Lepisosteus oculatus: one gene and its partners. The protein of the gene in region 1 purifies or fractionates together with the protein of each later gene. This does not show direct contact. Links are inferred from orthologs where the notes say so. Each region holds a gene or a part of one and is shown on either strand. Other genes may lie near its edges.

Evidence for each region.
Region 2: the proteins of ctnnb1 (region 1) and smarca5 purify together in Homo sapiens (affinity purification with mass spectrometry, with the first as the bait; 3 studies listed by BioGRID). This does not show direct contact. The link is inferred for Lepisosteus oculatus from reciprocal best matches to the Homo sapiens genes CTNNB1 and SMARCA5.
Region 3: the proteins of ctnnb1 (region 1) and catenin alpha-3 purify together in Homo sapiens (affinity purification with mass spectrometry; 4 studies listed by BioGRID and IntAct, counting the BioPlex papers as one, with this or other methods). This does not show direct contact. The link is inferred for Lepisosteus oculatus from reciprocal best matches to the Homo sapiens genes CTNNB1 and CTNNA3.
Region 4: the proteins of ctnnb1 (region 1) and hdac7a purify together in Homo sapiens (affinity purification with western blotting; 5 studies listed by BioGRID, with this or other methods). This does not show direct contact. The link is inferred for Lepisosteus oculatus from reciprocal best matches to the Homo sapiens genes CTNNB1 and HDAC7.

What each region holds. Positions count from the first base shown.
Region 1 is NC_090705.1:42,390,471-42,398,052, reverse strand, and holds the start of ctnnb1 (catenin beta-1), read right to left. Parts: upstream 3,002-7,582; 5' UTR 2,867-3,001; exon of another isoform or gene 2,764-2,866; intron 1-2,763. UniProt on the Homo sapiens protein: Key downstream component of the canonical Wnt signaling pathway.
Region 2 is NC_090696.1:27,528,832-27,536,710, forward strand, and holds the start of smarca5 (SWI/SNF-related matrix-associated actin-dependent regulator of chromatin subfamily A member 5), read right to left. Parts: upstream 3,002-7,879; 5' UTR 2,725-3,001; coding exon 2,656-2,724; intron 1,227-2,655; coding exon 1,125-1,226; intron 1-1,124. UniProt on the Homo sapiens protein: ATPase that possesses intrinsic ATP-dependent nucleosome-remodeling activity.
Region 3 is NC_090699.1:34,545,134-34,552,633, reverse strand, and holds the start of catenin alpha-3, read right to left. Parts: upstream 3,002-7,500; 5' UTR 2,861-3,001; intron 1,635-2,860; 5' UTR 1,630-1,634; coding exon 1,531-1,629; intron 1-1,530. UniProt on the Homo sapiens protein: May be involved in formation of stretch-resistant cell-cell adhesion complexes.
Region 4 is NC_090696.1:16,830,940-16,838,497, reverse strand, and holds the start of hdac7a (histone deacetylase 7), read right to left. Parts: upstream 3,002-7,558; 5' UTR 2,987-3,001; coding exon 2,941-2,986; intron 1-2,940. UniProt on the Homo sapiens protein: Responsible for the deacetylation of lysine residues on the N-terminal part of the core histones (H2A, H2B, H3 and H4).

The DNA of each region.
Region 1 (7,582 bases):
GCAAAAGGGAAAACTACGTTTTATGTGACTATGTCCAAAAACTTCTAAACTATTCTAATCTGCTTTTATTTTAATCAAATCCAGTTATAAAGATTATAAACAAAGATTTGATTCACTTCTACACACAAGCATATTGAGGATCGGGGTAATAACCCTTAATTCACAAGTCATTCTTGAACCAGGAGGCAGGAAATCTTTATTTACCTACACCACACCTCTTGTACAGACACCCCCACCCCCCACCAATTACCGCTAACAAAAAATAAACAGCCTACAACCAATAACACTTAGTTGCAGTACTCAGGAAGAAGAAACAGTTGATTAGTTCTCTATGAAAATCCTGACTGTTCCCAACTTGATCAACAGTAAAACACCTTTAAAGCGCTGTTGTTCGTAGCTGTAGCATTCCAGGTTGTGGACATGTTTGAGAGATTAGTTTTGCCAAGATTAATCATAAAACAGTCGGGGCAAATCTAGGTTAGTCAACACAGATCTTATTGTGTATAAATGTAAAAAACCTGACTGTGTTGGGGGTGTCTTAAAACATCAAGTCCGATAGGTCTCTGTCTCATTTTGAGCCCTTTAACCTCCACCATGGAGAACATACCATTTCTGGCATTTTCCACCCAGAGCAAATCACCTAACTGATCTCAATCAAGGTTTAGCATAGACCTTTCAGATAACGCAAACAAAGAAACCACCAAGCGCTCACAAGTAAGCGTGCCACAACCCCACCTATGCAGCAGAGTATGTATTATGTAGGGCACACATGACCAAACATCTCACGCCAAGTTTCAGTCCCACAACCCCCTGAGTCTGCCACTGCCTAACCTGAAGCACACCAGTGCCACCAGTCCACTATGAAATCCCACCCCACCCTCCTCCCCACAGGCCAGCGCAACCGCATTTTTTCCACAGGCCGAGAGGAATGCCTGAGCTCTGCTCACTTCGGCACTTCTCCGCGCTGCAGCTGAAAGGGCTCGTGGTGAAGAAATAAAAGATCTGCTGTTGGGCTCTCGGCCCCCAGCTTCCAGACAGCCGCCTGCACCTCCCTCACACATATGGAACTCATTTGGTGCAGAAATCTTCAAAGGAAAGGCAGGCTGCTAGCACACCTCCCCCCAAAACCGCCGAGCAGTGAAACACGACCCCGAAGCCTCCAGCTTCGCCTGCCTCTGCACTGCCTCGCTCCAGCTCCTCGCAAGCCAGCCTGAGCGGCACACAGCCCAGCCCTCCGCGCAACAGAGCCACACAGCCAGGGCTCAGGCTGAACCAGAACCTCGGCTCCACCTGACTGCTCTGGGGCTCGGGGCTGTAAGCGCTCCCCCGAAGTCACCTGTTGATCTGCAGTTCCCCCCTCCAGGACCTTACTCAGAGCCGGGGCAGTTGAACCCCCCCGCAGGACCTTACTCAGAGCCGGGGCAGTTGAACCCCCCGCAGGACCTTACTCAGAGCCGGGGCAGTTGAACCCCCCACAGGACCTTACTCAGAGCCGGGGCAGTTGAACCCCCCGCAGGACCTTACTCAGAGCCGGGGCAGTTGAACCCCCCGCAGGACCTTACTCAGAGCCGGGGCAGTTGAACCCCCCGCAGGACCTTACTCAGAGCCGGGGCAGTTGAACCCCCCGCAGGACCTTACTCAGAGCCGGGGCAGTTGAACCCCCCCGCAGGACCTTACTCAGAGCCGGGGCAGTTGAACCCCCCGCAGGACCTTACTCAGAGCCGGGGCAGTTGAACCCCCCGCAGGACCTTACTCAGAGCCGGGGCAGTTGAACCCCCCGCAGGACCTTACTCAGAGCAGGGGCAGTTGAACCCCCCGCAGGACCTTACTCGCAGCTGGACAAATACAGAGGTGCCCCCAGCCCACTCTCACGGCTAACGAGCAGGAAGCAGCCACGGGAGTCCGGGTCACGACCGCGGCTCTGTGCTCCACACTCACCCACCCGGGGGGGGGGGGGAGGGGTCGACCACCCAACTTCCCTTCCCGTTCAAACAAAACGCCACCCCAAAGTTAAAGCGCTGGGCATTTCCCGGAGCGCGGCTACAGTCTTCGTGCGTGGGGAGGGGGGGGCTCCCCACCCCCACGGGCCCCACGGCCCCGCAGCCCGGCGCGCAGTGCGGGCTCTCGGGTTTCACTCAGGCTCCTCCCCGCCTTCCGCTCCGGCCTCTGTCCGGCCGGCGGGGCGAGGGGACCGGCAGGCCAGCAGCCCCCCGGGGGCGGGGGGGTCATTCAGCCTCTCAGCGCCCCACTCCCACCAGCAACAACAACACGGCGCACGAAGTTCAGGCGCCACCACGCCCGCAGCTTCACGCCCTCCTGCCTGCCCGCCTCCCCCCCCATCAAGCAAAAACAACAACTCGCTACCGAGCCACGCAAACCGGGGGGGGTGGAGGAGGAAAGAAAAAAAAAACACGATGAACCGCACGCGAGCGCAACCCCACCACCACCCCACGCGAGCTCGAGCAGTTCCTCGAGGGTGGGATAAACTCGAGATTTCCAAGCCCCACGCACCCCCCCACTCCTCCTCCCCGTCCACATGCACACACACACACGGGACCCACGATCACCACACCTCACGGCCCGTCCGGACTCCAACTCTCCCGGCGGTGGCACCGGGAGAGAGCAGCCCGACAGCCCCGGACCCCCGACACGCACACGCAGCCCACTGCAGGTCCCGAGTGGGGAGAGACAGCCCGAGAGAGAGAGCCGGGCCACCCCGCCGGGCGCCCAGCCTGCCTGCCTGCCGGCCGGCCCGGGGCTCACCTACCGCGGCACACCGCCTCTCTCCGTCCCCGGCGCGGACCGGCCCGGCTCGGCTCGTCGTGCGAGGCGCTGGAAAGGGCGAGGAGAAGCAGCAATAAACCACCTTCGGCGAGGACGGAGGGGTAGGGAAAGCGAAGAAATCGAAGCCGAAAAGGCGCTCGTCCACCGCCGCAGCCCAACAGCAGCTCCGCCACAGGAAGCGGACAGAGAGACTCAAAATGGCGGCCGGCGGAGACGGGCTCTTATAACGCCTCCCGGGGCCGCTGTATCCTGCCGCGGAAAGTAGAGCCCTCCATCCGCGCTCCGCCTCCCGGCCCCCCCCCTTGGAAAAAAAAAAAGAGCAACGCCAACCACAACAACACAAGCCGAACAACACAAAACGGGCCCGACCCGCTGTCCTGTCGCGGCTTTAACGTCTGCGCGCTTCGGGTCGTTCGTGTTGTGTTGGGTTTCGCCGTTGTTGTTTTTTGTTCTGTTTCACTGTGCCCTCGCGGCGGGAGGAGGGGGGTGAGGGGTTAGAGAGTGCGCAGGGATACGGGAGGTGCGGTGGCGGCGAGGTACCTATTCATGAGGCTGGAATGCGAGTGGGTGTGGGAGTGGGTGAGGGTGAGTGAGGTGTGGGTCACGGAGGGTTCCCAGCCGAACCGCAGGGCGAGGGGAGACCCGCCTCGGTGTGCACTCCGGGGACCTTTGTCCTCCAGTGACCGAGCAGACCCGACCCACGGGTGCACCCGTGGAAAACAAGAGAACACTTCAGATCTCATTTTGTTTCCAGTTTTTTTTTTTAAATAAATAAAGCATGGGGGGGTCACGGCGATGCGCTGGTAGGGGGTTGTGTTTTTTTACGGGGTGTCCTTGCCGGCCCCCGGTCCGACCCCCAGCGTGCGTGTCGTGGTCGACAGGAAACCATCGGACGGCACAGGCGCCCCAGGAACAGGGCAGCGGATCGCCAACTACAGCAACAACAAAAAACACCCCAGCTAGCGCAACTTAAAGCCCTTTCATTCGTTTTACGAGACGTAGCAGTGGAAATCCGTGGTTTCATTTATGCGGCTTTCCGTTTGAAGAGCACTGTTTTTAAAAAAACAAGTCAGCTGTGTCACAATGTCACCTCGCACCGAGGTGGAAAGTGTGAAAGCAGCCGAGAGCGACCCGATCAGAGCTGTTTCTTCAGTGTTGCCCGGCAGGACGGGCGATGAGATACAGTCACTGAACCCGCCAGCCCCGACGGTCCTCTAACACAATCGCATGCAGGATACAGTTTTAAAACACAGTGTAACATCATGAGGCGATACAGTGCGCCAGTCAGCTGTGTTGGGGATGGGGAATCACGGCCGCGTCTCGCCGGGGGGACGCGCGACACCCGGTCGCCCGTGGGGCAGGGCTGACGTCACTCTTCTCTTGGTTTCGAACCCGCACACGCTGGTGACGCGTCGGTGACGCAATGGTCTCACAGCGGAATCGATGCCATTCTCGGCGGAAGGGGCACCCACACCGAACGCGAGCGAAGTCTGGAGCCCTGCGGTGGTCTGGAGTCTTATTGGGGGTGTAGTGTCCCCCTGTCCACTCCTCACACCCTGTTCTTATAAGACAGTCTATAGGCTGCTGCCACCTCACCGAATACGCGACTCTCTCATTATTGTGGGTGCGTGTGGTATAACAGGCATCTTCACACCGGCGGCGAGTGACGTCGCTTTGCACAACATACAACCTGTTTTCACCTTTTTCTTTTTTCCCTCCGTCGGCTCCCACACTCACACTGTGGTGCATCGTCATTTTTTTCCGGTAAAGCATTACAAGGTGTTCCTAGAACCCAGGCAGGTGCGAGTCTTGTGAAAACACGCCTTTTTGTTTTGTTTTGTTTTGTTTTGTTGGGGACGGCCCGTGTCTTCGGCTGTGCCGAGTGGGAGCGCAGTCCCTCGCACGGCTGCTGAGAGGAGCGCCTTGGATTGTGTCCGAGTTGCCTCCGGTGTGGGTTGACACTGGGAGACGTCGCTCTGTCCGCCGTGAAGATATGTGTATGACCACGTAGATTGGTTAAATTAATGGAATCATAAATGTTGTTTAAAAAAACGAACAAGCTCACAGTCAACACAAACTGTTAGGGATTCGTAAAAAAATAATTATTTTTTACTAAATTTACTCAATAAATATATAGCATTAGTCTGATGTACATAAATTGTACTTATCTTCAGTTGGCAGTGAATTACTGCTTTATATTTTGTTATCCAGTGGTTTTACGATTCCGAGTTTGAAGAAGTAAATTTCTTCATGAGTAAAAAAAATACAGTAGCTTTTGTTATTTTCATAACTGTTTTTACTACTCTCCCTTATTTCTGCGATTTAAGCACAGAAGTAAAGCTCTTCGCACAGTCTGCTTGGGGAAGATGTTCAGTTCTTCAGCATGACAGTGGTGACTTGCACAAATCGCTTTGTAATAACAAGAAATGGTGATTATTTTGTCATAATATTTTTCTACCGCTTGTCCTCTGAGGACTGTAGTTATCGTCTTGTGGTGCTGATGTATAAGTTACAACTGTCATTTCTTAAACCTGCATTCTGGTTACATTAATATACAATGGTCTGCATTGCTTCTGAATATATATTTATAGCCCAGTACACAGGTTTAAAATACAGTCTCTCTCTGTGCACGTAATCAGAAATGATTATGGTAAGTGGTCTTTTGTTTTCTGCACACAAGAATGTAATCATTTGCTGTCCATGAGCTGCATTTGGAGCATGCACATCGTGTTTGAGCATGCTTGCACAAACAATATTCATAACAAAAAGGTATACGGTTATTGTTAATTATAATTCCTGGTATTCATATAGCCCCTTTAATCCCCAAATGAAAAGATATGGGAGTGGACCCACCACGCAGAGCCCAGCTAATAACGGGCAGCAGGCCCACTCACTACACGGCAGGCTGCGTGCCGCGGTGAGACAGAGCTTCACCAGGTGAAATTAAGAAGGAGCGCCGGGTAGGCCAGATTGGGGAGGCGTGGAGCAGGAGTGTGCAGGGACATGGAGGTCAGCATCCCACCTCTCACGGGCTGTGATGGGATCAGGTAACTGGGACCCCCCCTTCAACGTTTCAGCCATTTTAACTATACTGCGATTAGATAGGAAGACACCAAAACACGGGACCTAGGATTCCAGCCGAGCGACGCACTTTGAAGCTTTGCGGGTCCGGCGAGACTCGTGGGATGGCGGAGGTTTCTGGAAACGACAGGGCGTCCCATAAACATGCGCTCCTCCGTGGATGGCACGTCATGAGGCGAGCAGTGGGTCCTCGGCGCTATGCACGCCCCGGATGAGCCCAGGGAGGCAGTGGGTGTCTCCAGAAGAGCAGAATACACAGGAACCACGAGTTCCGAAATCTGTTTTTATTGACAAATTTAAAGCGCAATGTTACAACACGATTTAATGAGCAGAACACCTGGAAGTGTCTGGGTAAGCCTCCAGATATCCACTGCCGTATCTCTCATGGCTAACATTTGTCCTACTTATGTAGTTTCAGAGGGCTTTTTCTAGCGCTTCCAAATCCAGTGTGTTACATGCGGTCATAATTGATTGTTAATTGGAACTTTTTCTTTTATCGTGTTGTTATGGAACTGAAAACAGGACGCACGTGTTGGGTGAAATATCATCTGAAGTGAAGCAATCAGTAGAAACACGTGGACCACACGACACAGGTGACTTGTTGTTTTAAATGTTCTGTGATTTTTCTGTATTCACGTGGACACTTCCCACGTAAACGCATAAACATGTTATTCATCCAACACTTTGTTTATCTGACAAAACAACACTTTGGCGTCTGTAGAGCAAGGGACTCAATTCAGTCCTTTTCCCACCATGTCTGGTGTCTGGTCCACCTGAGCTCTCAGTAACCTACCTGACAATTATTTAACATCTGTGTAACTGGAAAACCTAAGATGTTCTACAGGTAATTGAACCTGTAATGACTTAAGTAATGAACCGTGAAAAAGGTTAAGAAACAGCCTGTTTCTGTCAAACTAAGAAAATAATTAGGTTAATTGTTTAATTGACTCCTTGGATTGGAATATAGAGTTCCTTCAGGGATGGAGTTTGACACCCCTGATCTGCACTTAGGTTACCAGAGTGCTTTAGGCCTTCAAACGTTAACGACTGGTGGAATTGTTTAAACCTTAAAGCTAAACACTGAACGGAATAGATGATTCAGATCTCAAGTCTGAAATGTCACGTGTATATTATAGTTTAATGTCTTCTCAATTTTTCCTTGAAAGTCCCATTGATAAGAAACTTTACTGTGTGGCAGCACAGAAGCAAACCCCTACAGTAGCTTGCCCTCTGCTCCTATTGGCTATCAGCAGAAGCCTTTAAAGATTTTGAAAAATGACTCTGTTGTATAGGTTTGTGTTTGTGTCTTATACATTCCAGTGAAAAGCCGAAGAATATGAAAAGGGAATCTTTTTTTTTTTAGTGGTGAAACTACCAAGAGCAGATGTAAAATTGTACAATTATTATTATATGTGGAATATTTCCACAACAAGAACGAGCAGCACTCTCTTTGTTCCAGGCTGAAGATCCGCTCTTCCTTGCGTGATGTGGTGCTGCATCGTGCTGCAGTCTGCAGGGGTTGGGAAACTGCAGCTTGACTGTGTGTGTTGCTCCCATCGCATGTGTTCAGGGTGGGTATCTGTAAGGAAGGCAGGTAAATCCATCTGATCAGTGTGTTATCTGAGAGGGTCAGCTGTGACACAGTGCACAGGAATAAAACCTGTATACTGTGAAAGAAGTTCACTGGGCAGAGCTGATCTGAGAGTCAGAGAGTGCG
Region 2 (7,879 bases), on another chromosome or scaffold:
ATTAACAAACACTGATTTTTTTTAAATGAAAGGAATGCTATTCTTTATGCTTTTAACTGTGAATTAAACCCAATTTTTTTTAAACTTAAGTCTTTTGATGGATGTCTTAAAACACTTAACAGAATATTGCAGTGACTTTAATAGAAAAAAGGCTTTTACTGATCATGTTGTTACAGCTCTGTTAATATTTACACACTGTCTCTGTGCAGCAAGTATAAAATCTCCCTCAGAAGCTTTAGTATTCAGTAAAATGTGCAAAAACGATGCATCCAGCCTGATAGCTCTGCTTCACCAGAAAACAAGTTCCCCTGATGCTTCGTAAAGTTACACAGGTGTTTATTAAAATACCCTTCTGCAATGAACATAAACATGAAAGCAAAGTTGATTATGTAAGCAAAGAAATTATGCCTACCCCGCTGCTTTTCAACCAGTTCTGTAAACCCAGCCACTTAACATGGCTGGCTCTTAACTGCAATCTGCACCTTTCTTTAGAGCACACCCAGTAGGTAGACTTGATACAGACATTGGTCACTCCTAACCTACCAGGATAGTTAAAAACCACCGCCTTTTCCGAAAGAGGCATTAAATGAAGGGAATAAAACACCAGCATGTGTCAGTATTTATAAACCACAACCTTAACAACAATAAATCCAGCATACACTTATTTTCATTGTTTAGCTGCTGTTAACTCTGCAAACACAAAAAGAAGAAAAGAGTTTTCCTCTTTAGCACCGCTTGCCTGTTGCCATATCAGAACACTGCCACAGTAGCATCTTTTATACTACTATCTAAAAATACTGTACTTTCATCACTGGAATTATGAAAAATTTAAACTTGTCATTCACATGGCCAGGATATACCCAAGTGCCCTCCACTTGACAAAATGTCTAAACGTGCCAGGTATGCACCATCTAAATATCACCTAAAACATTTATATAATGGACTGCATCCAAAAATAACTATTTGACTGGTTAAGTCAGAGGAGCTGGCTAAGACATTACTCTCACAGATCAAACTAAAAAAAATGGCTTTTCAAGTATAAAATCTTGAAAAGATATTCTTGAAGGCAAGACTATGTGGTGTGACAGTGCTAACTAAAAATAAAGGTTGTGGCAAGACATTACCATTTTCTTTTCATAGTCGGGAAACATTTCCTGTTCTTCCTTTGGTTTTAGGATGGGGGTCTCCACTTGACTGCCATCCTCATGATCAGATGCTTCTTCCTCCTTCGGGACAGGCAGATCGAAATACAATGTTAAAAACTTTAAAATGGAGAGCTGACCTGGTACACGGCTACAGAAACTTTACTTCTAGGCTGAAACACATTTACCAATCCTTGTTATTGTAGCTGAAGTGCAACAGCTGAAAATGTGCCTAGATCTGTAACCCGTGCAATACGTCTGCCAGATGTACAAAGCCCTATTCGTGATTATTCCAGAATGTATTAATAATGCCAGTTAACGAATGAGAGCTAAGTTACTGAACAAAAGCGAACTCTCACATTTTACGTTTGGACACTAGGTGTCTAAAACACGGTCAGAGTGGGAACCTGCGTCAGCAGGCGGACAAGAGGTTAAATCCACGCTGAAAAGTGAAAGAGGAAAACTTCAGGCTGACGCCGATTTCTTGACTAGCTTTCAACCCGGTTACCCGCGGCTCTCTCGGCCGCGGAAGAGCACAGACACACAGGAGTGGGCGGTTTGTATTGATGGTGACGTCATGGTTTCGCAGCCCTGAGAGGGAAAAACGGGAAGCTTCAGACCCCCCCAAAAAATGTTTCAGAAGTTGGTCGAAAATACTGAGGTGCTCGTCTCGAACCTTTATTCGCCTGGTATCAAGAAGCAGGGGTGAAAGACCGACTCGGACGGACACAAAACAAGCAGGGGTCCTCGACGCCTTCGTCCGCTCCGCTGCTCATTCATTCCGCGGATTCCCTCCCCGCGATGCCGCTGTGGTGTCGGCGAAGCGGCTGACTGGAACCAACCAGCCTGAGCAGCAACTAGGCCAAAAACTGACGGGCTGGGGAGCTGAAGTCCCCTCACACGCACATCACCGGTCCCTCCGCTCACAAAACATCACACAGGCGCTCCTTTCGGGAGCCACGTAAAGTTGCCGCACGCCTCGTTTTAGGACTTCGTTTCACGACAGAAGAGTCGAGAATCAAAAATAAAAACACACATCAACGCGGACGGGGTTCCTCGAAACTCCCGATTTCCAGGCTCACTCGATATCCGGAAAACTGTTTAGTGCTCAAGTACATCCCCAAGGCAGGCCGAGTACCGAAGCACCTCACAATAATCACAATTGGGTTTTTTTCTACTTCAAACAGGACACCATCACGACCACGCACAGCTGAAGCGTCCCTTTATTTCCTATCAACGCCGGTTTACTAAAAAAGTAAAAAAAAAACACCCAGTTTTTTCAACCGAAACATCAACGAGGTTGAAAATCCAGAAAAGAAACAAGAAAAAGAATGGAACCCACTACCAACCCACAACACAAACAAAAAAAAAACAAAACCAGAAACAAATCGAAAAGTAAAATCAGTCAAAAGTTCTGCATTCGCTATAAAGACGTCAGGCACTTCGGACCTGGCCATGTCAAGATGCTGGCCAGCCCAGTGGCCCCTCTCCGTGCTGCTATTGTTCCGCTCACCTCCTCTCCCTCCGGCTCAGCCTCCATCCGCGGCTCCTGCTCCACGTTGTTGTTCTCCGTCTCGGACATGCTTTGTCTCTCCTTCCGGATCCTCCACTCTTCTCTCTCGAAAGCGCCCAGCCGCGGGAGTCCTCAACTGCCTCGTACTCGGTAATCCGAAGAAGGGGCTCCTGAAACCGATTATGCGTAGAAAAAGATTTCCCTGACGGCAGCTCTTTTCTTTTCTGTCTCCCCAACACACGCACACACACTCCACAGGACAGATGAGCACCACCACGACGCCGCGGATCAGAAACCTTGCCCGGCTTTTCGGAACTGTCCCACCAACCGGGCTGAACTGCTAAGCATCGCGAGATGTCACTGCGGCCGTTCCTCTACGGAGGAAGAAGAAGAGTCTCGCGAGACCTTAAAACAGCCATAAGGGCAAGATTCGAGTACAGAGACAAGAGGCGTTGTATGTCAGTCGCTCATTCATTGTTGTGCTGTATCAATGATTTAATATTTAGTTACTAAAAGGTTTATAACATTCTCAAAGTCCTGCCTTTTTAGGGAATTTTTTTCTATCTGTCTGTTATTATTGTATGTATGTGTTAGACAATGTCTAAAGATGGTTTGCCGTGAAAGGCACCTTGTAAACGAGAAGTTTGGTGTTGAAACAAAACAAAACTTGTTCTGTATCTCTGAGAGTCTTACAATTTCTAAAATCCCGATTTTCACTTAGCTGTAGATTTCTTAACTACTGCTTGCTATAACAAAATAGTTCCAAATGGCTTGTACCCATTTGTATTTCTTGTGTTTTCATTTTCAAGAACGCTACAAGAAATCTAATGCTGGACTGTTTCTGAGAGACCCATTTTAAATCAGTTGCTCTAGCTTCGTTGTGTTGATCATTCAAAAATTTGGACAGAATAACAAAAAACAAGGAATAAATTAAGAATTAGATTGCCCTATTGTAAACTTTTGTGAGGGAAAAATATTATCGGTCAATCTAAATTTGTTATTTAAAGATAAAAAACACTTGTTCAAGCACCTGATCAATTAAGCAACTGATACAAAGAAGGGAACAATAGTTCTTGAGGGCTGAAGGATATTTGACATTTTTTTTTAAATAATCTGTGAACTGTGGGTAACAGTAGCACAGTGGTGCAGGGGTTTACTTTGTAGTGCTGGGGCCCAGAGTTCAATTCCTGGGGTGTTGTGTGGTTTCCTCCCACAGCCCAAAAGCATACTGGAAAGTTAATTGGCTTCTTTGAGATTACCCCTTTTGTGAGTGTGTGCTTCCTGGGTTAGGATCTGACTCCTCCACAAATTAGATATGAGGTTGTTGAAAGTTAACTGTTGACGTGATGTGAAATTGGTGATATAATGGTTGCCTGTAACACCCAGACAGGCAACCATTAGGCAACCAATAGGATTCCTATTGACGTTCATAGGTATATTACTATAGTTTTAAGAACCATAACCCAACAGATTTTCTAAATCTCTTCAAATCATCAACAGCTAAAGACCTAGGTAATATGCTAAATTAATTAAATTAGGATAATATGTAGCTTGATCGTGGAAATAAATCTGAGGTAGATCAAAATCCCACAAGCAATGTGCCCCCCCAAGAGGAAAGTTTTGCCCTACTGATATAAGCAGAGATGTGCCACACTGATTCCAAAAACTTGCACTGAGGTTATCAATCTGCCATCATACAGCACACCCCTAATCATTTCTTCACTTCAGGAGGTGGTGTAAAAAATGTGTCATGGAATAAAAAATCAGAGCTAACCTGATTAAGACATTGTTGTGCAACAGCAGTGAGGCCTGGATGTGATTTTATTTGTAAAAATGAAATTGAAAACACTGGTACTTAGCTAAATAACAAAGCTATTTTAATATTTTGTGGTTAGAATCAGCATTGATGAGTGCATTTCAAACCATAATAAAAGTCAAATGTACACTGTAACCTGTAAAATTTCATATTTACATCACAAAATAGATTAAAGTTCCAGGTATGCGCAGCGTGATCTGTATGCAGTACATGATTTACATTAGTCATTACATCGACTAGCGAGCAGAAAGGGCCGCATCACATCACAACCCGTGGAAACTTGATTGCGAGTTTGCAACAACATGGTGATTTAGTGCTTTCACAAAGTTCACAATTTTGGGCTTAATTCGAAATTTATAAAAATGTTTTTTACAACATCAATTAATTTATTTTGTTACTGAGATTTAATAACTGGTCCAAAAAATCAGGATTGCAGTTTGCCTTTAACATGTGGTATATATCTGCAACCCCCTGGCGTTGGACTGTCCCCAAGACCCCTTTCACTCCAGGTTCACACTTTCCCACCATTTCCCCCTGTAAAACCAGGAAGCAATTCGATCTTTTTCTCTTTCCCACCTCTGCGTCCAGAGTATGTCTCTCTTTCTGCCTTCTAGCCTGACCTGCTCCGTGAGTGGCATGCCTCGCTGTGATGAAAAGGGCAATAAAACTGTCAGTGAGTCTGACAGTCATCTCCAGCCTGCGTAATGCCGCTGCTGAAACGAGAGCTTGTGTTGCATTGGTGTAAAGAGTGGGATGCCCTGTCTTGGGTTGTAGGCGAAACCTGGAACACAGCAGAACAACTGCTGCTCAGACAGAGCCAAAGCAAAGCAGCTGGGGGGAGCAATGGACTGGCACAGATAAGGCATTTACAAGATTGCTCCCTTGTGCCTAGTGCAACAGAGGGTGACATCCAGCCCTGCTCCCATTTGCCACAGGGCCCTGCTGCCAGAGCTCCACAGAAGACGATGTCCAGCAGCACCCCAGCACGTCACTGGGACGAGGCCCTCATGCGATCACTGGCTGTGGGACCCTGCTCCCAGAGCACCATAGAGATTATCGCCCAGCAGAACTGTGAATGCTCCCCACCTCACATGAGCTGTGGACCCTGCTGCCAGAGCATGTGCCCTCTACAGAGGACAGCAGGGGTGCCGAAGCCACACTCCAAATGGTCAAAGAGTGGGTGCAGACCCACGAGTGGGCCACATAGGAAGAGACAACTGGTGGCCTCCCCATGGACAGTGAGCCGCTAGGTCCTGCTGTCAAGCCTGCATTTTCTAGAAAGGACAGGAAGGGAACCGAAACCAGGCTCCAAACAGTCCAAGAGAGGGTGTAGGCTACCCTGTGTCCTGCTAAACAAGACGACCAGATGTTTTCTCCATCCCTCTGACACCATGGGGAGACAGTCCGTGACGTCTTCCTCGGGCAGGCGAAGGCTGCGGGACAGTGGATCTGAGGACACTGCCTGGGCGGGGCAACAGGTGGGTGGGCCCATGAAAGGTCTTTGAGCAGGGAAAGAGGAGACCGCGCCCCTGTGTCCACACACGCATTGACTGAGTTCCCTCTGTGAAAGAAGACACCTCCAGAGATTGATCGTCCCAGCCCCATCTGATGAAGGGCAAGACCTCCCTGGTCACTGCACTCCAGTAGCCACTGGTGCTCCGGTCGGCCCCAGACCAGATCCCTGTTGCTCCTGCTGCCCAAAAGACAGTCCAATTCCAGGATTTCAAAGTCTGTCTTGGGGAAAGGGACTTGGGGGGCTGCTGTGTCATGGTCGACACTCCCCGGCGCTGCGCTGACTGTGCCCACACCCCCTCCCCTTTTACCCCTGGTCCACCCTTTCCTGCCGTTTTCTTCTAGAAAAACATGGAGCAATCCCTGCTCTCCCCTTTTCACCTCTGTGTCCAGAGGATGTCTGCTCTTCCTCTGCCTTCCCAGCTTTACCTGCTCCGTGACCCGCCGCAATGAAAAGGACAATAACACTGTCAGTGAGGCTGCAAGTTGTCTCCAGCCGAAACTGCCGAAATGGGAGCGTCTGTTGCAATAGGCGAGAGGAAACAACTCTTTTAGCCTGTAATTAACAGTTTGCCAGTCAGAAATGATTAACTTGCTGTGTTAGAAGGCTACAGTTCATGCACAGTAAAAGATTTGTGAGGGAAAGAAGTGAGGGAAACAATGTGTATCTAAATCCCACGAGGAGCCGCTTAGTACTATTCACAAAATCTGAAAACGCTGAACTTGGGTTTGGAGTGGAAATGAAATGGTACTTGAAAACTTGGATTTATATAGCACTGCAACAGCATCTGCTGAAGAGGAGGCAGCTGCCAATCATTCCACTCCCAGATAATTGACTGTTGATCTTCTCTCTATCTAAGTGTCTGCCGTCTCTGTAGCAGGGTGTGAGGTACCCAGTGAGCAGGCAAGCACTGCACACCTGGGAGCTCTGGTGAAAGGCTTCAGAGAGCACAGGACTTTCCGAACAGGCCGGAGAACAAACCTGCGGTCCGAGAGCTGCAAGCACCACCAGATCAGGGGCTGTAATATTGAGAAGACCACGAGCCTGGAAGACCACTTAGAAAACCACTGGTGACATATCTTAGTGGCTGAAGATACTTTGATTGACACTGCGAACTGTGCCTCAGAACCTCCAAAGTGTTTCCAGCTTACAGAATGAAGGGCACAACGACATTTAAATTTCAAACCCTGTCGGCTCCAGACCTCTGCTGTGCTCAGGCTGCAACAAGCAGCTCTCATCCTAAAGGATCCCACAGCACACTGCATGAAGGAGGGGACCCACTTCGCCCACCACCACTCAGGAACAGAGCCCTGGTAGCCTCTGTGGGCCAGAAGCACCACTACACAGCACATCAGTCAGAACTGTGCAATTCATTTACCATTTGAGCTGAGGGGATTCTGCAGGAAAGCCAGATTGTATAAGACAGTGGAAATTTTAGCCAGGACCCCAGAGTTAAAATCCCTTCTCTTTAAAACAGTTTAAAATTACATCAGAAGATCCAGTGCCACTTTCTACAACCCGGTGTCCCTGGTCATCACATTGAATCACTAATTACAAATTGCCCAGAGGGAAGAGTGCCACCTACTGACCATCTGCTAAACGGACCAGGCCCAGCCCTGCTGGTTTTGATCAGGTTACAGGGTGCTACTGTATCTCAGCCGCACGTCTGAACAGAGAAACCAAGCAGGACCAAAATTTCATTTCAGCAATTTCTGGGTGCAGATAATGTAAAGGGTTTGTGGAAAAACTTTGTGAAAATCTATAGACTTTTTATGGGACTTAAAGGAGTTGCTCGTGAATACTGCTAGGCAAAAGCTGTATAATTATGAAAACGTGACACTGTCACTTTGGGTGACTAATGAACAGTTATTAGACTGTGTGTGATCCTCAGTAGC
Region 3 (7,500 bases), on another chromosome or scaffold:
ATGGTGACTTGAGTGATCTGGTGCACAGGAGGCATGAAGTAGGCTAACGAGTCCAAGGAAGTCCAGAAGGGAAAATCGGGGCGCGGTCCGTAATCCAAAAGCCGCGTGGTCCAGCCATGACAAAGACCATTAACACAGGAATGGGAACGTTGAACCAGGAACATGGAAGATTAAAATCATAACGAGGCAAAGCGCTCCGAGCCCCAGACTCAGAGGTCAGGACGCCATGGTGAAGCCTATGCCTTTGGGCCACTTCTGTGCCTGATGGTAGGCGGGCTTCTGGGCGTCCGTCTTCCAAAGCTGAGCCCAGAACTACGGAGACGCCAAGCTTAAATAGGGAATCGGGGATAGGAAATAGCTGGGACAAATAAAGCTGGGAACACAACAAAAAATGTAGGAACACCCTCTAGAGGATGGAAGACGACTGTGACAGGTTTGTTCAAATAGGTCTAGTAACATAAAAAATGCCCCAAAGTGAATTTTGGGGGATGCAATAAAACTGAACTGAATAAAAACACAGACACACTAAGACATTATGACATTCAAGATATTTGCTTCCAGGGGTGAGGGATATATATATGTAATATATACTGTATGTAAGTAAAAGAATACATTCTGTTTACTCCGAATTATTATATGGGAATTGCTGATTGTAAACCTCTGATCAAGAGTCATAGCAGGTGTGAAATTAAGAGAACCCTATGACTCTTTCTGCAGAGAAACCCTTCAACAGCTTAGCATTCCACTATGCAAACTCTAAAACTGGCACATGCTGCTTGAAGAGACATATCTTTTCATTCTGCCCAAGACTACATAGGCAGTTCCTCACAACTTGCAATACGACTCCAGGATCAGCTATTGTACTGAGACACTTTTTCTGAAGCATAGGATTGGAGCTGATAGCAACTAACCAGGTAGCATAAAAGTGATTGCATGGATGAGCAGAGCAACAACAAAATAGTTGTGGCTAAATTCAGTCTAAAATCTGCACTTGTCTGGGCTGTATCACTCTGTGCCTGTAACCAAGACTCCTAGTAGCACCTAAGCTGGTCAAGAACAGTGGCTATTAGCTTTTGTAAACTCTCCTTCTAGCTGCTCAATAGCAGATTCTGTGGTTGACTGACCGTCTTCTGAACTGTCATTTTTCATTCAGATAGCCTTGTATCCTCTGAAACCCATATTTATCTAACCAGAACAAAAACCTTCTCATTTTCTGAGTGTCCTGAAAAAACAAGTCCACACATTCACAAGAAAATAGTACACCAGTGTATTATTAAGCTGCTTCCTAAAGATGCCATGCCCATCTTCAGTTTCTCCAATTATAATAATCAACTTCTTATTCATGGAGCAATTTGGTAGAAATAATTGGAGGCTTAAAAATGAATTGGTGGCTTGGTGTTAGATTACTTGTTTAGAAAGCAAGCATTTTGTTAACTGTTAATTTTCCTCTAAGATTAAATTCATTGATCAAAGTCAAAGGTAAACGTTTTTTCCATTGGTATGAATGTCCTTGTTTATTAAACTGAATACCTGTATAATCAGTGGTTCAAGCAACCTTTCCACTGTTATAGTCCTGATCTGAAGATCCTTAGGGTCGATTTTCAGCTGAAGATTTTGTAGCAGTGTCATTTTACCTATTAGAAAAAGAAGCAAAAAACACATAACATTATCCACTGCACAATAATAATTCAGTTTTCAAAAAACTCCCTTTGGTTTATATCAGTTACCTACATCACACAGTACAATTATTGGAGTTCCACATTAATACAGACCTTAAGGAGATATATTACAGATGAATCAATTATTTTACTTGACATCTGAGTCTTCTAAAATAGGTTTTGATAAAACAGTCTAATTACACATATCATATTGGATAAATACGACTGAACATGTATACAGTATGTAGTTTAATAATTAGAATATTAATGGAATACATGGTTACTCTGAGTGATTAAATATGAACAAAGTGAAAAATGTCATCAACTAATCAATAATTTGAAATCTAATTCTCAAAGATAAAGATTCATGTAGCTACTGTAAATGTTTTGAACCATTTATAAACTATTTAGAAACTTTTACCTTAGTATGTGACCCTGACCAAGGTATTCCTAGTAGATTATAAATAGGCTGCAGGCTTCCTTGCATTGCAAAAAATAAACCCAAGCTTTGCGTAGTATTCTATATTTAGCACGCCAACAGTTTCTCATCAAAGTGAAACTTCTATTTGGTTAGTTAAATTAAGAACAAAAATATATTTATAAAAACGTTTACATGTCAGAATACAGAAAAAACTTGCAAAATTATAAACTTTATAAACTGCAAAGTGTCGAAAATAGTTGCACACTGTGTCCAAGCATTCAAATGAGTTATGCACAAAAATAAATTTAAATATACAAATTATGTTATGTCCCTGGAAAACGCATTCTCTATTTAGTGGGGATGACTACAGTGTACAGGAAAACACCTGGTGTCTTTCGTTGTCATTACATAATTAAAACGAGCTGGTGTTTTCCACTTAATTAATTCAACTATTAAATGTATATAAATTACATATTTATAAGGACAAAGCTTAAAAAAGACTAAAACATCTTGCACGGTAAATGTCCGATACCGGTGGTCAACTAAATAAATTCTGTCTTATTAAGGCACGAAGTGTCCGTCATCTGTTTAAATGCACTCGCTACAACCGCACACCCTTTTAAATAATTAATCAAAACAATTGATTCCCTTCCAAGAAAACATTGAAATTAAAATTTAAAGTTTATGATTTAGTAAACTATTCGAAACAGTGACGTTTTAAATGAGATATCAAAAATACGAACAACTAGTGAGAAAGAAATAGCAAAACACGCATTCTTACCTTTCTAAGTCTAAAGCACAGAAAACTGTTTTGCTGACAAGGTTTAGCTGATGTACAATGAACTTTTCCACGCCTGCAGAGCACAAGTTGGAAGCCACAATCCAGTTAAAAGAAATTCAGCTGGTATTGCCCTCCCCCCTCCTCCCTCTGTTCGCTTGCCAGTCATGCGCTCCAATGCCTACTTAAACTGTCAGCCGAGCTACAGTTGGCGCATGATTTCATTGACATCCACTTGCTGCTTCTGAAAATATCCGAATGACAGGAGGGCTTCGGAGAGGTTAACACAGCTAACAAGAAGCAGGCCCCTTCCTCAAAGAGATTCTACTGTACCAGCACCTGGCAGATATACAGTAAATACTGTATACTGTATGTTCTTTGCAGAAAAATTCTAATAATCACCTTTATTTTATATAGTGTCTTTAATTGTACAATACATCCTGTCAAGTTACATGTTCAACTTCTCAAGCCTTCCAAATGGCAAGTTCTACATTTCAGATAAAATCAAAATCCCCATTTATAGTGATATAAAGAACTCTGTAATCCCTTTCAGTCATTTCAGACAGAACGTACATCAGTTACATGCTAATCACTTATACAATTCAATATTGACAGAGGAGAATATAGAAATGTTTAAGTATACTGTACTAACCTTTCCATTTAAGGAATCGATTAACATTTGACCTCTGTATATATGCAACTCTGTATTAGTTATTAATTTTTTTCTATTTTTGTTAATTAACCCAATATTTTTCGATTCAGACTTCAATGAATTTTTTTTTTTATCTATGGATTAAGCAGAAAGAAACTTTTGTACTAATACCAGCAAATATATACTTCTAAGGGGTGGATGTCAGAGTGAATATCGTGTACCAAGATGAATCCCAAAATCCAGAGTATATCACAATGGTTTAGGATACAAGATGGGATATCATCTAGGATCAGTCCATCACAAGAGAACAATTAAGACACACCAGTTTACTTAGCCACCATTTCTTTTGGGAGCTGGGAGGAAACCACAGCACCTGGAATAAATCCACATGAACAAGGGGAGAAATGCAAACTCACACAGAGTCTGAATGCCTGCACCTTAGTCCAGAAATGAATCCAGCAACTATGATCTGTGGAAAAGCAGTGATAGACACTGCACCACAGCTCTGAACCAATGGTGTATTGCAGTACATTGTAATTCCAACAGTGCAACTGTCAAGTTTTCTCACACATCCCCAGATTGAAACCTAGGGCTTTTGCATGAGGCCCTGCATGGTGCCAAGCTAACAGATACTGCCGTTTGTACCTCTGCTGCATTTGGTGTTTCATCCTGTGTCCCATACACACTACAGTGGCTCTCAAACAAGCCTTTTCATTTTAGTACAGTGGGGTGCATGCTTAATCCTTGGTAGGGTAGCTCTTGCAATTTAATTAAGCATACTGTATACAAAGTTTAAAAGCTCACATCTGACTGATTTCAAATACATTTGTCAGGAATTTAAAAATAAAGAGCAGAGCAACAGTGCTATATACCATATATGCTTAACAAAACAATATATTTCAAAGTGGTTTACAGTAAGTGGCCAGTACCCTACTTTCCATGCTGCTTTACACTAATGGGCAATAGTATTTACTCTTTTTTTATTTAAGCTTTTTTTGGTTTTATTGAGGACAGGCCCTTGCTGGATTCTATTCCTGTTGGTTTTCGTTAGTGAGAGATTCATGTGATTATGCAAAAATAAGAGAATGCGAATTATAATATAATGCATAATTTAATTGATTGAGATCTGCATAAATGGTTATAATAAGTCATTTCTGTCCACTTATGTTGGCCACCTGGATTATACTTTTTCTCCAGGTGAGGGTAATGGCAATATAATATTTGCTTATCACTGTATTGTTCTAATTATCTAATTTTCTAGCTTTTACTTTCTCATTCTACTGCAGTACACAGTCATAGATATTTGAGGGTAAAACAAAAGCCAGTAACTATTTACACTCTTTGTTTATTAGTTTGGATTTAAGCATTTGGACACTAAATTCATCGAAAACCAAGCTGACCTCTTTTCACTGGAACACTAAATTAAAGTGAAATAAACAAGTTAAAACCTCATGAAATACCCTAGGCACTGCTTATAATTGCCTTCCTTTTGGGAATAGGATTTTTATGCAAGGAGATGAATTATTGAAGCAAGCATTTGTTATTAACTGAAGAACTCTAAAAGAGAGAATTTCAATTGAGGAATATAACCTATCTGAGAACTGCCAATAAGAATCATATCCATTCTCCACACGAGTGTGGTGCAAAAGAGCTGTAATTTTTGCAAAGACACTATAACACTTCAGAGAAGCTGAATCAAGTTAGGAGCAACATCACAGACATTTCCCAGTAATCCATCCATCCTTTTGCCAACAGATTTATCCAAAACATCTACCAGTGTATCTTTGGACTATGGGACAGACCCAGAACACCTGGAGGAAACAACACAAACACAGGGAGATCAAACAAACTACACACAGATAGCACACCAGGAACTGAAACCAGAGCCCAAACACAGCAAGGCAGCAATGCTAACCACTGTGTCACCATCCAACCCTATTTCAAAAATATTAATATAATATAAAATATTAATATCATACACAGTATAAGCATTTTAAACATTCTATGAATGCTTATGATGCATAAGTTTAGTATCATTAAGATACAATATTGAGAAGCTGCCCACTAGATAAATCTGGAAGGCAGTTAGGCACATATTAAGTTGGAATTGCAAAGTAAAGTTTCATCACTGAGGATGAATGTGAGAAGAGAAAGAAAGATGTAGCCATAGCAATTAAACAAAGTGTAGATCACCAGCAGCCCTATCAGTCTTCAATTCACAAGTGGCACTGAAGCTAAGCAGTAGTAAGCTTGGCCAGTACCTGGATGGGAGACCTCCTGGGGAAAAACTAAGGTTGCTGCTGGAAGGGGTGTTAGTGGCTCCAGCAGGAGGTGCTCACCCTGCGGTCCATGTGGGTCCTAATGCCCCAGTATAGTGACAGGGACACTATACTGTAAACAGGTGCCATCCTTCGGTTGAGACGTAAAACTGAGGTCCTGACTCTCTGTGGTCATTAAAAATTCCAGGGTGTTTCTTGAAAAGAGTCCTGGCCCAAGTTTCCCATTGGCTCTTACCAATCATGGCCTCCTAATAATCCCCATCTCTCCTCCCCACTGATAACTGATGTGTGACGGGCGTTCTGGTGCACTATGGCTACCATTGCATCATCCAGGTGGATGCTGCACATTGGTTGTAAAGCCATTACCTGTAAAGCACTTTGAGTGGATTATAGATCATATTAGATCATATTATAGATCAACAAAATGAATCTGTTTAAAGTCACAGGTATAAGGGGCTTGCTTTTTCATAGAGAATATCAATTCTTCCTCTTCATTTAAATAAGCCATTCTGCAATAACTAGTCTAAATTAGAATAATGGCTAAAAATTAACTTCAAGTTCTTTCGATGTTTCAAAAAGATATTTTGAATTTTTACATACAGTACATTTCATAAAAGATTCCTATAGCAGAAAGGAAGAAAAATTGGGAAAGGTGATTGAGATCCAGACTATACTCTCAAACTAAAGATTAATAAAAATATCTGTATTGTAGCTTTACAAATGATTGTACTATGATTGGTCTACAATGATTGTGTACATACTATACATTTAATTTGTATGTACTGTATTACCATCATAATCTCCAAGGTCCACAAAATTATTCTAATTTAGTAATAGACATGAAACCCCAATATGAAGTCTGTAGAAACAAAACTTCTTAAAATGAAAATTAATTTCCATAGAGATCTATCACAGCTTAACCTTACTTATTAGCCTACACAGAGATGGTGGAGAATCAATTAATGTTTTTGTTTCGTAACATATTCCTTTGCTGTAACATACTAAGTAAACAACAATATTTTCTGCAATTTCACATGTTAATGGGGCTGGCAGTGAAACCAAATTTGTTCTCCATGCTCCAAATTCAACATGCGCTTTAAAGAATGCAACACCCACTTCAGGAATGTGTAAAAATATGCCATCAGTAAAACATTTTTTTCATCCTGTGCTGTTTGATGGTGGGCATCACAGTGCAGCCATGGTTAAGTCAATACTTATTATAAAAACTGAACTGTACATCACAGGTTCTGAAAAGTAGCTGTGAAAAGAAGTAAAAACAATAAGATGTGTATGATTACTTCTTCAATGTGCATGCTGCTCATGTAAGAACTTGCCAGAAGGGAGCCATTTCAGATGCCCTTCTTTTTGTTAACAGTGGTAGGAAGTAATATATATATATATTATCACTCCTTCAATTCATAGAACTTTCTATTTCATTTTATTTTCCAGCAATTTCATTTAAGAAACGTGCAACACTTACCTACTCTGGACATCTTGTGATTCAGCTTTGATTCAGATATGAAACATTTTGTCATGTGTTTTTCATTTACAATACTGCACATACAAAACTTACAAGTTATAGGTTTATTCCATGCTGAAAAAAGAGGAAAGAAAACACAACATTTCGCCCATGGAGCCTTCTTCAGGTGTGAGAAAGACAGGGCAGAGGGCATGCAAAAATTAGCTTGACTTAAATTTAGATAAAATATTAA
Region 4 (7,558 bases), on another chromosome or scaffold:
TTTTATTCGGTTGCCCTGGGGGACAGCTGGTCCTGTTCATTTTGTAATGATCAGTGTTGTGAGGGGGATGCAGTTCGGAAGCGAGTTATCAGTTGAAGACGCAAGTGTCTCCCCTCCACCTCTTTCACTTGAATCGGATTTTCTGCACGCAAGGCTTGAAGTAACCAGTAGAATTAATTTTCTGTGTCGGAGGCAGAGCCCTCTGCTGACTTATTGGTCTACCAGTCCATTGCGCAGCCAGTACAAGCCCATTCATAACATGACAGACTGGGCCACATGTGACAGCTGGTATTACAACTACCAGCAATACTACAAATGACTACTACAAATATTAATACTGAGAAAGAAATAGGGGGTAATAATGCGTGAGGGTTATCTAATATTTGGATTTTTAGCTACCAAGCAGGAACATTTAACTGTCCAAGGTAACCCACTTTCAATGCATTCAGGTAGCCAGCCCAAATCGTAAAGGAACTGGAACAACCTGACTCCGGGTCTGGCACATAGAGAGAGCCCTGCAGCTTCATTCGGTACAAAATGCCCATGTGAGAGAAGGTTCACTGTCCACCCTTAAATAGCACGTTTACAGCGGCATGGGGGACAGGGAGAGCTGACGTGAAAATATGAAGATTCAGATTCCCGTTAATTAATGAAACGGCGCTCAGCGCAGGATGCGGTCAGCCGTTTCAGCAAAGCCTCCCACGCAGGTGTATGCTGGCCCTCGTCTCTCAGAGAGAGGAGGTAGACCCGAAGTCCACGTCAGTCCGCTGCACTGCCTTGGCGTCTGCTTCACGTGTTTTCAACCACGGGAGGGAAACAAAGCTTATGGGAAAGGAAATTCAGACCCGTCTGAAGTGCCGTTTACAGAAAAGCCCGGTAGAAATGCATATTGTATAGTAGGTCATGCTGTGCTACCCACAGGCAGGAAGTAACACTTTTATAATGACTTCTGACATTTGTATTTTATGTTTCTAACTTCAGCAAGTTTATTTGTCATTTATAATAAGACACAAAAATGACCCAGAGGACCTACAGTGAGTGTTTCTGTTCACTGCTTTTCTGATTATGGGTCTGTAAATATCTTGTTTCTCGGGCAGTGTGAGACTTTCTGTTTCCCTTGTGCCACCTGTCTGAAGCGAAGCGAGAACTTTCTCTGGACAGAAGTTTGCCCCATTGCAGAGATGGGATGCAGAAAGGGCCCAGAAACTAAATGGAGAGGGAATGGAAAAGTAGCACTTCAGCAGTAATCAGCCTCCAGCAGATTTTAGTCATGAAACACTGCAAAACACCTAATTTTTTAATCTCACTTTGTCTTTTGCCGTTTTCTTTTTCAACTCGGCCAATTAGGAATTGCCAGTTGCTGAAGCGGTAAGGACTGAGCAGCCCTGACACGTGGATGTTGGGGTCACTAACGTACAGTATAGCCTAGTCAGTTCATGGGGAGTTCCATACACCCACAACTCTCTGTGTAAAGACGTGTCTCCTCCTCTGCATCCTTAATTAATTTCCTTATACAGTAGATTCCAACTCTGACCCACATTTCGCTATTAAGATAGACATACAGTAGCCTGCTCAGCCTACCTTGACGATATTGATTAGTATTTGTCATAGACACTTGTTTTTTAAGTCCTACAATGTCCCCCTAGGGTCCTATTATGGACATGACTGACCAAAAGAAACAGCACAATGACATCGATATGAAAAAGGGGAAAAACTCAGGATCTCCTCTACACTCAGTGACAGACATTCACCCAGAGCCCTGGGGGAAAACAGAGGGGTTTTAGCGAGGGAAAGCAGATGAAGGCACACATTGTTTCACTCAGCCCTTCTCTCGGCTGGGTTTGTAGGGATGGAGCCAGTGAAGTGTACATGTGACTCTCCGGGGCTAAAATACGCGCCTCTTTGCCATCTCCACGTGCTAGCCTGATTGGACGAGCCTGTATCAATGTTCGGCAGCAGAATGCTGCCCCCCCAGGGGAAGGTACAAGAGGACGTGAGATTAAAAAAAGGATTGAGGCTTTGCCGTTTTGATAATGTGCCTTTTTTAAGCCCGTTAGCTGTCCCTACAGGGACACTGCACTAGCGTTGACCATTCAAACCACAGTGAAATCATGGCAGAAGAGAGATCTCACATAATTCAGAATGAATAATTGCAATAACTCTTACCTTCCCTGCCCTTAGGAAGTGGGGCAGAGCTGGAGGTCCTTGCAAACATACAGACTCCACACAAACAGGCACTCCAGCCTGGAATCGAACCCAGGACCCTGGAACTGTGAGGAAGCAAAGCTTTCCACTTTTGCCACTCCAACTTTGCACAAGTGAAGGAACATTGTGCTTTCTGGTAGTCACAAAAAATATCAACTCCAAAATGAGGATTTTCATTCTCACTGTCCCATGAACTGAATAATTTGCCATAAAAGACCCAGGTCCTGTCTGGCCAGCGTGCTTGGCCCTATCCTTTGAGCAGGCAGCATTATCTCGGAAAGCTGAATACACACAATACTATTATTTGGCCTGAATGCAGATAAAAACGAGTTTATGCAGCTGTACTATTCTTGTGCTGCTCAAATTACAAAGTGCACTTGTTAACGGACAAGACTGCATGGGAATGGACGACAACTGCACAGGAAACAAGGCCAAAGAAGTTGGCGTCTCCCAGCATCGCTGCAGCTAAGCAGCACAGCCACATGCAGGAACAGCCCGCTGGTAAATCACTGCCCTCTGCTTCCTTCCCTGGCACACGGGCGCAGAGGGAGCCTGCGACGCCAACACTGGCCAAACCGCCAGGCACACAGCCCAGGGCCGCAACGAGCCAACCGTCAATTTCACCCGGCGTAAGAATACACCGGTTGGAGGCTGCAGCTCGCCCGAGATACACCACCGCGTTTGAAAAACCTGCTAAGATAAGAGAATTCAGGAAAAACAACAAACAATGCTTACATGTTGTCTGAGGCCAGCACAGTCTGTGCCGAGGGAAGGAAAGCATAACATTCGCTTCTTTGGGTACGTGCTAACTATTTTTGCTCAGGTTCCGGTACCTTGAAACTTCCTATTCACTTCTGCGGCTTCCTCTGTGCGTTATTTAGAGCTGAGCGGCGTGTGTGTGACACACAGAGAGCAGGCTCGCGCACCTTCTCCTTGTTGGCCCTGGGCCGGCTGAGCAACTGCCACACGGCACAGCTGTACACATCTGTCTGTCGCCGTGGGCGTGCTGGGCCGGGGGCGGGGGGGGGGCGATCATGTCTGCTCAAACAAACACTGAGGAGGGCAGGAAAAGGGGAAAGGATACGCACTCCACTGGTCAGTCTTCAATCACAAACAGCCAGCGAGCCAGGTGGAAGGTGACTCAACTCAACTGTTGCTTTGTCATTTGCAAACAGTCACAGCAAAAATGAAGAAGATCAAGAGCCTGCTTTGCTCAGGGGTTGTCTTGGATGTTGGGGTGAAAGCCAGATGACTGAACTGGAGAACTGCCTTTTTGACACAGACCATGAGACTCCAAGAGGTCGTACTTTATCAAATCAATAACAGCAAATGCTACTGCTACTATTGTCATTATACCACCCAGAGCAGCATGCCGTATGCATTTCTGCAATTACTTTAAAAACATGAATGTCTGTCTTGTCAGGCATAACTGACATTGTTTGCATTGCTGATATGAAGGTCTAAAAGCGGCACTACAGTGCTAAGTGACTGATCATGAAACTTTCCAGCACCATTCCCACATGTGCTTGAAATGAGTGTGGGTGTCCTGGCCCAATTTCCCACTGGCCTTTACCAGTCATGGCCTCCTAATAATCCCCATTTGTGAACTGGCCTCATCACTCTGCTCTCCTCCCCACTGATCGCTGGTGTGGGGTGAGTGTACTGGAGCACTTTGGCTGCTGTAGCATCATCCAGGTGGGGCTGCACACTGGTGGTGGTGGAGGAGAGTCCCCATTACCTGTAAAGCGCTTTGAGTGGAGTGTCCAGAAAAGCACTAGATAAATGTAAGGAACTACTGTAGTAGTAGTAGTAGTAGTAGTAGTAGTAGTAGTAGTAGTAGTAGTAGTAGTAGTAGTAGTAGTAGTAGTTCTAGTAGTAGTAATGTCACACATCACATGTCAACAAGACAGAACTGGACTGCTCCATCCCAGCAGTGAGGACAAACAACATTGCAGTCAGATTCTCTGCAGTAGCTACAGACCATCTCTTTGCATTACCAATCAGAGGCAGGGTTTCAGGGGCTCAAGCTCATCAAGCTCTGAGGAGGGGTGGCTGAATCTGTGCTGGCAGGTGCCTCAGCTGCCACGGCTGCACAAGATGAAATATTGATACACAAGCTTCACTGTCCAGAATTGCAGAATGCAGCTCATGTACCAATTACAACTACTTTGCCCCAGCATATACTGTATCTCCTGTCCTGTGCAAACTGCATTGGCTCCCCATCAAATTCAACTGAAGAGCTCAGCTCCAGGTTAAGGCCTTTACTGCATGAGTGTAGACCAGCACTTAATTTGACATCTGCTGTCTCAGGTCGAAGACCAGGCTACACACAGTGGACAACAGAGCTTTCTGTCTGCTGTATATATAGAGCCTGAGACACCAGACATCTTTAAAGTTTATTTAAAGACCTACTTTTTAACTATAACCTTTCATGAATAATTCTGCATTAACACTTCAGTTTATATGGTTTATTTTCTGTGTGATTTTTCTTTCTACTTCTGTGTTGTGTGCACATAATATTATTTTACAGTGCTTTGGGGTTTTTTTTTCAGTAGCGGTAACAAAGAAAAGTCCATATTATTACATGCACAACCTTTAGTCAGTAGGAGTCAGGACCATAGCAGAGGAGCACGATCTTGAAAACAATGCAATAACAGTCACACCTTTAGAAGTGCTCTGATAACTGCCACTAAAAACCGTTACAGAAGAGGTGTGGCTGTTATGATGATTTAGTTATTCTGTCTCTTCCCTTAAAAATAATTTCTTTGCTTGGGCTGTAACCTCAGAATGACCTGTGGTGGTGACACAGAAACGAGGCCAACAGAAGAAAGAAAGACAGCTAAATGTGAGGCCGTGATTACGTGCAAGCGCTCTGGAACTGCAGCTGCTCTGCTTGTCCTTGTCGTTTGTGCCCGATCCAAACAATTCGGCCACAACCAGCTCTTGAAAAATCCCACTAGTCACTCAAGCAAATGCAAGTGGCAGCGAGTGAAAACAAGTCAACGCTGGGCGGATTCAGAGCTGGGCACAGCCCTGGTGTCCAACCCAGACACCAGGAGGAGGTCAAGATTCACCGAGCTCCGAGACCCGTGCAATAAGCAAAATAGACTTTGTTTTTAAAAGATGATATTATTTCTCAATTGTTTCCAGTTGTCTGCCTGATTTCTACACCAGGTCCTTCATCAATACCAGTGAGAGCAGTCCGCCCTCCCTTGTCACCCTCCAGGCACCAGTGAATCACCTGTGCTGAGATCAGGCACTGCACCTCTCAGACAGCCACTACTTGTTGAGTTCTGTGGACTATAAAGAGATGCGGCTATCCTTTAGCCACTTAAGACAGGACTTCTCTGCTTCTCCCTGTTCATCTGACCAGATTTAAAGTTGGTTCTTAAGAGTTCTTTGTCCTTGTTTTGCTTAAATTTGGGTCTATCATCTAAACATATTTGAACTTTCTAAATCATTTAACTATATATAGTAACTACCCATTCGTGTACCGACCAACGTGCCTGTGCAGCTATGTATTGAGCTTCCTATCCTCCTATCCTGTGGCAGGTTGGCTGAAATGACGCTGAAGCATTCAAGTGCTGTTCCCCTGTGTTCCAGGCTTGGTTGCTCCATCCTTCCTAAGTGAGCTTCATAACTGTTTTGAGAAGTGATTTTGAGCAACAGTAAGTTACAAATTCAAGCCCAGACGCAGCAAAAAAAACAATTCCGAGGTTAACAGGTGACACGCATAACAGCAGAGGAAATAATATCAAAAGAGGTAGTACAGGAACAAGTAGGTTCACAAACTTCAGATGAATATACAGTATATATAAAACATTAGAACTTATTTGTTGCTCAAACAGGATATGAAGAGAGAAGATGCCCCTGTGATAGCTTTAAATACAAGTTCCTTAATAAATGAAAAAGATATGGCAAATGTTAACAACCTGTTACTTAAGCTACTTAATTTTCTTCTGCAGCGGAAAAAGAGAAGGGAGGACAATGGCAGAAAATCCCAGCAGGCTCAGAGGGATACCATCATGAACGTCTGTTCTGACCACTAAACCACTGACAATGCTTCATGAATACAGGCCGGCTAATTCTTAATCCCCGTCCTCTCAGCTCGCTTTTCTGAAAAAACGGGATTTGACCGGTGTGAAAGTGGGGTTCTGTGACACAGGAAAAGGACTGTGAGGGAAGCAGGGAGTAGAGGCGGGCGGCGAGGTCGAGGGTGAACCAGAGAATGGAGGCAGACAGAGGTAAACCAGCAGGGAGAAAGAGACGGGGATGAATGACCGGGCCGGAGAGAGAGGACAGAGGTCCAGCAGGGACAGCAGGGCGAGACACAGCGGAGGACTAGAAAGCCAGGGAGGTATAGCACTCAGAGGAAGGTGGTGTGAAAGATGGACACCGGCAGCACAGAGAGAAAAATGAAGTGGAAAAGAACAGGAGGAGGGAGGGAGAGACGAAGAGAGGAGGAGGGGGGGGGGAGAATGCAAAAGAGGGAGAAAGGGAGGAAGAGAGTGAGAGGGGAGGGGGAGAAATGGAGTATCCATCTGGCACGGAGAAGCCCGAGTTCCCTGCCAGCCTCCAGGAATTCTCCCAAAGGAAGTGAGCTGGAATGCGGGGAATGCTGGAGCCGTGCCGGGATGGCAGGATGGAGAGCCGAGGGGGAAACAGCAGATGCCTGATGGCTCTGACAGGGTGTGGTGCGGAGCGGAGACCCCAGTAACGCGCGCAGTGCCCCAGCAGCGCTGCACACACTTCCATTCGGTTTCGCCTGCGCTGGGAGATGAGGGATTCTCCCAGTCCTAGAGCTGAAACACACATGTTCTCCCCATTTCTTTTTTTGGGTGAAAGGCAAGTCTGCAGACTTTCCCCAACTCTCTCAATACACACTGTAGTTAAATGTATGAGCTTAGATCTGCGCTTATCTGTGCTAAGCTTCCAGACCTTGGTTTGACCTTTACGGAACTTTATTACACCAAAAATGCAGATCTCTGCTATTTTAATCAGAAAAGTAACGCTCTCCCAGCACAACAGAATTTCCTAGCTGCTGACTGCTCAAAGGGAGCTTTCATCAGTACACTGACTGCAAATCTACAGAGTCTAGCAAAAGGTTTGATTTGAAAACACAGGAAAAGTCAGGACGGCTTCACAGGAGTCAGGATTAAAGATGTACAGTAGCTGAATGCTCAGAGAAAGTTCAAATTTCAGTACCTGTTTCACTTGTAATGACAAAAGCTTGTAACTGGAAATAAACTTCATTTTAAAAAGCCAAGCTCCTTTTTTAGTGGCACTGTGCCAACTCTTAAAAAGTTCAACCTGCTTTTTGATTACCTGCAGAGAGCAGACACTCCTGTGTGCT